2 linked regions of the Daphnia pulex genome follow. Each later gene encodes a partner of the first gene's protein in a complex. Links are inferred from orthologs where the notes say so. Each region holds a gene or a part of one and is shown in the gene's direction. Other genes may lie near its edges. The genes, in order: polycomb protein Asx-like and mucin-5AC-like.

Region 1 (3,919 bases):
TTGATAACTTCGGGTCTAGGAGTGGTCATAAACTTAGTAATGGGTTGCACGCTCCATCAACATGGACACAGCCATGGGGGAAGCAACCACCAGCACAGCCACTCAGCTCCAATCCATGACGCTGAAAACCAACCTCTACTCTCTCATAGCCATGTGGGACACACTCACGATGATGTTGAGAATATCAACGTTCGAGCGGGTAAGCAATACCTATTTTTGCGATTGACAGAAACTTTGGTTATTAACATATTGTATTTTACTTTGTTCTTACAGCCTTTATTCACGTTGTTGGAGATTTCGTTCAAAGTCTCGGCGTTTTCATTGCCGCAATAATAATTTTTTTCCAGGTTGGTTTTTGCCTTTTTGTCAACTGTCGAATATCATCGCTAATTCTGACTCATTTTTTTTTTTTATTTCATAGCCGGATTGGGCATTTATTGATCCTATCTGCACTTTTCTATTTTCGATCTTAGTTCTTTTCACTACGATCGCAATTTTAAAAGATGCGTTGACTGTTTTGATGGAGGGTAATAGTTGTAATTCTTTTTCAATTGATTTCATTTCATCTATTCAACTCTCATATTTTACAGGCTTGCCTCGGGGACTGGATTTTAATAGAGTACAGCACACGTTTTTGTCTATCGATGGTATTTCTACCAAATTTTGTAAGATTAAATGTGTGGTCTAATTTTTTTTTCTTCTGTTCATAAGGCGTGATTCGTGTACACAACCTTCGTATATGGGCTCTTACAATGGATAAAGTCGCCTTGTCCGCACATTTGGCCATTCGTAAGCAATAGTAACTTAACACTTGTTTTTCAACTAACTTTTAGTTTTTTTTTAGGGCGTGGGTCGAAGACTCAAGAAGTGTTAATACAAGCTTCGCAACTGGTGCGTTCTAAATTTAATGTGTTTGAAATGACGTTACAAATAGAGAAATTTGAGGCTGGAATGGAAGATTGTGTGCAGTGCCAAGATCCTGTAGATTGATTCTTTTATAGAAACTGTGTATTTGCAATCTCAAGTCCAAACTCCCTTCTGAGAATTGCATTTTCTTATATTTGCTCATATATTGGCCTCGAACATATTAAAGCCTTACAAACGATATGTTTGCTTTGTTCGCTATGTAATTGGTTTGCTGCATGAAGTTGAATAAAATAATTGTACTCTTTTATTTCGCTCGTCATAGTTGGGGCACAGACAACGAAGTATCCATGCGGTCATTCTCAATACTTGCCAAGTTAACACGCATAACATTAATACCCTTCTTTAATTCCTGTCGAGTAAAGATGAATAAACATTCTTAAATATGCTTTATCGTTAAATATACCTTAATTTCTGCTTGTTGTTTTGCAAGTCGTATTTTAGTTAAGACTAGATCTTTCCCCTGAGCAGCAGGAGGATAGGAGGAGTCACATTATTTTCCTCTAGAAAAAAAAACGTAAAGGGTTTAAGCAACCGTTTTTCACAACGGAAAGCCAGAAGCCTTCTACGTTAAGGTTGCTTAAACCGAAAATACGTTATACGAATTACGAATACGGAATACCGTTGTGAAAAACGGTTGCTTTTATTAAACCCTTTTACGTTATTACAGTAAAAGTTAAAACGCTTAAAGAGGCTGCAGTATGAATGAAGCCTTATGTCTAATAATGCTTTAAAGTATAATAATTACTTTAGTAAAATTTATAGGATTTTTTCAAAATAGAAAGTTGTCCGTTGTTTACAGTCTTTACCGCCATCTAGGAGCGCAATACAACATTGCGACAAACGAGACAAACACACAAAAATGGCCGACAGTTGAATTTTTTTTTTCATCAATGATCAATGAAAATTTTTGTTCAAATCTCAGTAAAAACTGTTAAACTACACTCGAGTTAGAGTGAAGGAGGTGCATAAAATATTTTTCGTAGTAACAACGTGAAACTTTTTCATGTAAGTTGAGTGTGAAAATTTTAAGTGACAAATTCATACATGTTCAATTGTTTTGTTTTTTTTTGTTGTTGTTATCACTAGATTTTCTAGTTGGCAAACGAAGAAATGTCTGAAAGCTTTGGAATTGACGTTAGTGTGGCTGATTCGATAAGCCCTGAGCCACGAATGCTGAAGAGACCAACATTGCAGTTAGCCTTGAAGCAGCAGGCTAAACGAAGAAGGAGGAACACAAGCATAGCTACACAAGGAAATGTGAATGGAATGCCACCTATCCCAAGAGTGATTGTTAAAGTGTTGCCTCCATTGCCTTTAAATGAACGGAACAAAGTGCATGAAGGTACTGAATCAGAAACTGAAGAAGTTCAACCCATAACTCCGAGAAATGCTTCAGTAAGTGTACCAACTCAGACAACCATGAGAGAAGTGCTGGCATCCATTCCTGGTTTTAAAACAACAAAAAGAACTACAAGAAATTTATCTGCTGCAGCTCAAATACAAAGAGCTCAAGAGGGTTGTGTTGATCTTCAAAATCCATCTTCAATTCTGGCCAAGGCAAATCTTCGTGGAATCCTTAACAAGCATACATTTGGGAGCTTACCCCCACTGTATCAACACAAACTTGTGCAATTGTTACCAGAGGTCGACAGATGTCCTGATGGCAGTTCAAAACTGAGTAGCACTGCCCTTAGCAACGAATTTTTTGGCCGTGCTTGTCAAAAGTGGAGAGATCGTCTTGCCGCGGGTGAATTTACCCCAGAATCCCAGCAGAAAATCAGAGCTGAAGCCGAGCGGGACAAGGGAAAGTTGGATCCATGGAAAGTAAAACATTTCGAACCGTTTTGGGGGACCAAAGGCGAATCCTCTTCTCAGGAGCTTTCTACCAGACTTCCTTCAAGTAGTAGAGCTTGTACAAGTGCAGCACCATCCAAAAAGAAATCGACCCCCTCAGACGTAGTTGATGAAGATGAAACTCCACCCAAGAAGCGCATGGGTGGTCGGAAAATAGGAAGAAGACGAATGAAACGAAAAAAACCAATCAGAAAAATTGTCATATCTACTCTATTGAATAGTGAAGACAAAACCCAAATTACTTCAGAAGAAGCTACGTTAGTTTCCGAAGAAATCTGCTCCAAAGATGTTATGTCGGTCGAATCCTGTGAGATAGCTGAGATGCAGCCTATCGAAATCATTGAGATAATCGAACCTGTTCACCCCTCTACCGACACAGATGAACCTGAAAGCGTTTCTGGGATTGAATTTGACTCTTCAAATGTTGAAAAGGAAGAAGTGTTCGCCTCAAACCCAACAGAAGAGAGCGACTGCGAAGAGCAGTCATCAGTCCAAGCGACACCATCAAATGACTCAATTATAGAGATTTCAAATCGTCTGGAGGAACCATCGTTAACTGCTCCTCAACCAGTAGAGATCAATATTGGTCAAGACAAATTTGATGGTGAAGAGTGGGATGGTACAAAAACCCTATCAGCGGAATCGAATAACCAAGTCGGGGAAAATGCTAATTTTGAAGTCCAGGAGATGTCCGCTGAAGTTCGTGCATCTGAGGAAGAAGACGTTTTGTGTCTCAGTAATCCTCCCACTATTAAGGACTCACTACCGTCCTCGGACACGGATGAAGAAAAGGAGTCCAAGGAACAAGATGTCGATGAACGACAAATGGAAATTGACGATAGCCAAGCATTAAATGAAATGAAAGATTTTCTTAGTAGCAGTGTAGGGCACTTTGTTCAGGAAGATTCGTCACCAGAAGATTTTTTCCAGAGTCATCAAGTGACGGAAGCTCTAGAGTTGTTGAGAGATATTCACGACAGGGAAGAGTCTGTACCTGTGATAGCTGAACAGCAAAAGATCTCGTCGCCAGAAAATGTAACAACTCATAAGCAAGATGAATTAGATTCAGCTGTAGCTGGACGTTCGTCGCAAGAACAGCAACAGATGATTGAGCCTTCCGCAACGGATATTCAAGATT
Region 2 (3,752 bases), on another chromosome or scaffold:
GAAGAAGGAGCTAAAAATACAAGAGAAGAATACAGGAGAGAGAGGGAACTAGGAGGAGGATGCGACGGCGGTTTGATCGATCAATTGACCTCGACTTGATCATCAATAGAAAGAAAAAAAAAGAAGTCCTGGATTACGTTAGTGGGTTCGAGTCTGTCTAACCGCCCAGCTTTATTTTTCCTGTTTGGCCTTTTTTCGCTCTTATTCCTCTTTCTCTCTCTCCCCCCTTGTTGTACACACGTATGTCTCTCCGGCGTTTGTTAGTCGGGAAATAAGGAACACCCCGTGGGGAGTCTCTCTATTTTTCCTTATAACATACATACGCGCTGCACACCTGGTTGACGTCAGACTAGTACCTAAAAAAAATTAAATGAAAAAAAGAGACTGTTGGGTCTATAAGGGGAATACGTTGTGGGGCCGGCAGCCTTTTTTTTATAATTTCCAGTGCAAAGGGGGGCTGCTGCTGCTGTTGCAACTACTATTCCAGGTGTGGTTTAAACAACGAGGAACCCTGAAAAGGGCCCCAAGAAATTTTTCAAACTGAAAAAAAAAATTAGGGGGTCGAAATTGTGAGGGGGGAAATAATGATGGTACCTAGAGAAAAAACATTAAAAATGTATATAAAAATGTAGAGTAAAGAGAAGAATTCATTCGAGAACGATTACGAACTACCGGCGGCGGCTACCAACCCCAAACAACAACCCCCTCCGCATTTCCCATATCCCCTGGTTTTCTTTTAACCCCTGGACTACTACCACATCTACCTCTGGGAGGAAATTATTTTTAAATGTTTTGCCGCTTTAGTAGTCAGCTCCCTATTTTTTTGGGTGTCTGTTGTTGTATTTTTGATTCTCCCCCCTCTTAATCTATTTCGAGACCCGTTTTCCTCGGGGGTTGTAAAATGAAGAAAAAACGACTTTTTTTTTTCTCTTTCTTATTCTGGTTAACTGGTTTCACACGCCAGGATATTTTTCTTTCCTTTTTATTTTTTCCAGTTACGCCGAGCAAATGCGGAATTCCGTTGTGAACGTGTGTGACAGAGAGAAAGAGAGAAAAGGGGGGCAATTGTTGTTGCATCTAGGAAATTATGTATTCCGGATCTTGTCGTATAGCCGTCGAGGTTATAGACGACGAATGTCGTTTTTGTCTCCGGAAACAAGAACCGGATTGCGGTGGATGGATGGAAAGGTTCTTCTAACCCCTGGGTGTGTGTGTAGGGTGGGATGAGATGATTTCCCCCCTCTTTTTCAAGAATTCTGGGCTTGCATCCAGACATCTCAATTCAAAATGTTTTGTGTGTGTGTGTGTCTGTCTTGGATGTTTTTTGGTCTTCTTCTTCTTCGTCATCCCTTTCTCTCGCTTTCTCCCTTTCGCCCATCCTTCTCTCTCTCTCTCTCTTCCGGCTGGGCAACGAATCAATATCTCCTGCTGTGTGCTCTTGTGTCTGCGCGCGGCCGTCGTCGTCGTCGTAAAGCGTCGCTCAGGGAATGCTCAAGACTTGTCTTCCGGATTTATCGATCCGCACCAGAGTTTCTTCTTCTTCTCCTTTTTCTTATCACCCCACCCACTCGCCCACCCGATCCTCCTCCTCCCTCTAGACTCTTTAATCAACCGAATCAATCAAGACGTGATTACGACCTAAATGAATGGAATATTAGTGGCCGTTAATTTACGTTCAAATCTGTTTTTCTTTTTTTTTTCTTTTAGCCTTAATCGCATTCGTGATTTTAATTTCGTTTCGATGAAAATTCAATTATTATTTTTCTTTTTCCTTTGTTGCGTCGAATAGTCCGAGTGGCTGCCGATTGTCGTCGCTGGAGGACGCGGCCAACTACGTCCAGCGCGACGGAACCTGCAAGTGCGGACTGCCTTGTCCGCTCCGACTTCAGCACGTCTTTAATTTCGATCCGTCGGTGAGTTGTTCCTTCTAAAAAACAAAAAAAAACAAATGCCGCCATCTTTATCCTATTTATAAAAATCTCGAATGATCTCCGCGTTATTAAACTTTCTTTCTGTTGGCTATATCGGGTTTATGTATAATACTATAAGTTATAACAATCTTTTTCTGTGTTTCTTTCTTGGAACTGGTCTTTTGTATAATAACGCCGCCGTCTTCGGTTTCATCCTTTGCTCTCCCCACTCACCCCGAAATGAAGAATTTACCTAGATTTTTTCTTTTTTTTTCAAGTTTTGTTATCAAATTAAACCAGAAATTGTGTTGATTTATTTCTTAATTTTTTTTCCTGAATGTGTAGAGTAGAATTTCCCATTTTTTTTTCATTTGGAATTTTTCAAAATTTTTTACGTAGTTAATACAACAAAGAATTTCATCCTCTCCATAAAAAAATAAAATTATTTTTTCTTTTTTTTTTTTTTATTTGGTTGTAATCATCTTTTACGCACTCAAAGTATATTACTATCATTTATCGGTTTTTCGTGACTCTGAAGATTCTTTTTTATGATTGTCTTTTTTCCTTTTCTCCTTCCATCCCTGGGGCCCCCAACTACAACAACAACCGACCGTAACTGAATAACACCCGAATGCGCGGGAGATCTCTGATGGCGTCTCACGACGACATTTCGTGATTTCTTTAACAACAACAACAACAAAAATTGCGCAAAAAAATATAAATTCGAGATGGCGGCGTGCGCGCGCGCGCGTCCTTATTCCTTTGTTTCTTTCTTTCCTTTTCCATCCGGTTGGTGATGGTGTCGTGGCGGTCGGGAAAAAAAAAGACAAAATTGGTAAAGGCGAACGAAAAATTTGTTGGGTGGGTTGGGGGGGGGGTTTACGTGTGTGTGTCGTTTCGTTTTGGCCGCGGACGAAAAAGGAAATGGGAGAAAAGTTGATGAAATTACCGCAGCGATTTGATATCGACGCAGAGTGTCGTCTGCACGACACGGCGCGTGCGTGAATGTCTAGTTTCTTTCTTTTTTTCTTTTTTTTATTATTTTTTCACGACCGATAAAGAGGAGAAGAATGAAAAGAAAAGAACGTCCGGCATTTTATTGATCGCTTTTTTTTGGATTTTTTTCTTTTTCTTTTTTTCCCTCCTCCTTTCCTGTGTGTGTTCGTGTTTGCCCTGGTTGTGTGTTTGTCTTCAGGTGGCGTGCAAAGCCGAGACGTCACTGGACGCCCAGTCATCGACCTGCTGCCACAAACAGTCGCGAGATGTCAGCACGGACAAGGCGGCCCAGGCGACCACAGCGGCGGCAGCGGCGACGGTGACGACGGACAAGGCGGCGAAATCATCGGCCGTCAAACGAAAAAAGAGCGGAAATGCAATGAATAACAAGTCGGGCAAGACCACCAAGACTCTTCCGGTTATCCAGCCACAACAACAACAACAGCCACCCGCTCAGCAGTCTCAACAACAACAACAACCTTTGCTCTTTCGACGTTCTCCGTGTCCCAATGTGGACGTCAGGCAAATTCCGTTGGAGCAGAATCGGCCGCCGGCCGGCAGCCTCTTGCCGCAGGCTCGTTCCACTCAGCCGTCAACAACAACTGGGAACGGACCGACGTTTTTCGATGATCCCAACGCCTATTTGGCCCAGCAAACGGTCCTGTTGCAAAGTAGTTTGCAGAATGGCGGAAACAATTCGGTCCCTACGCCGCCACCTCCGTCGGAACCGCTTCCGGCCGCACCTGCACCACCGCCAGCTTCAACGACGACGACGACAGAAACGGCCGAAGCGGAGCAGACGCAAGAAGAATTGCTGGGCGATTTACTCGACTGCATCCCCGACTC

What was found.
Region 2: polycomb protein Asx-like (region 1) and mucin-5AC-like share a complex: the UniProt entries of both Drosophila melanogaster proteins name them as parts of the polycomb repressive deubiquitinase (PR-DUB) complex. The link is inferred for Daphnia pulex from reciprocal best matches to the Drosophila melanogaster genes Asx and sba.

What each region holds. Positions count from the first base shown.
Region 1 is NC_060017.1:5,840,149-5,844,067, forward strand, and holds the start of polycomb protein Asx-like, read left to right. Parts: upstream 1-1,753; 5' UTR 1,754-1,932; intron 1,933-2,013; 5' UTR 2,014-2,037; coding exon 2,038-3,919. Other genes in the region: zinc transporter 2-like, read left to right, coding at 1-199, 274-347, 422-527, 591-647, 712-789, 845-990. UniProt on the Drosophila melanogaster protein: Non-catalytic component of the polycomb repressive deubiquitinase (PR-DUB) complex, a complex that specifically mediates deubiquitination of histone H2A monoubiquitinated at 'Lys-119' (H2AK118ub1).
Region 2 is NC_060024.1:8,819,443-8,823,194, forward strand, and holds part of mucin-5AC-like, read left to right. Parts: intron 1-1,789; coding exon 1,790-1,913; intron 1,914-3,105; coding exon 3,106-3,752. UniProt on the Drosophila melanogaster protein: Non-catalytic component of the polycomb repressive deubiquitinase (PR-DUB) complex, a complex that specifically mediates deubiquitination of histone H2A monoubiquitinated at 'Lys-119' (H2AK118ub1). Important for maintaining stability of the PR-DUB complex.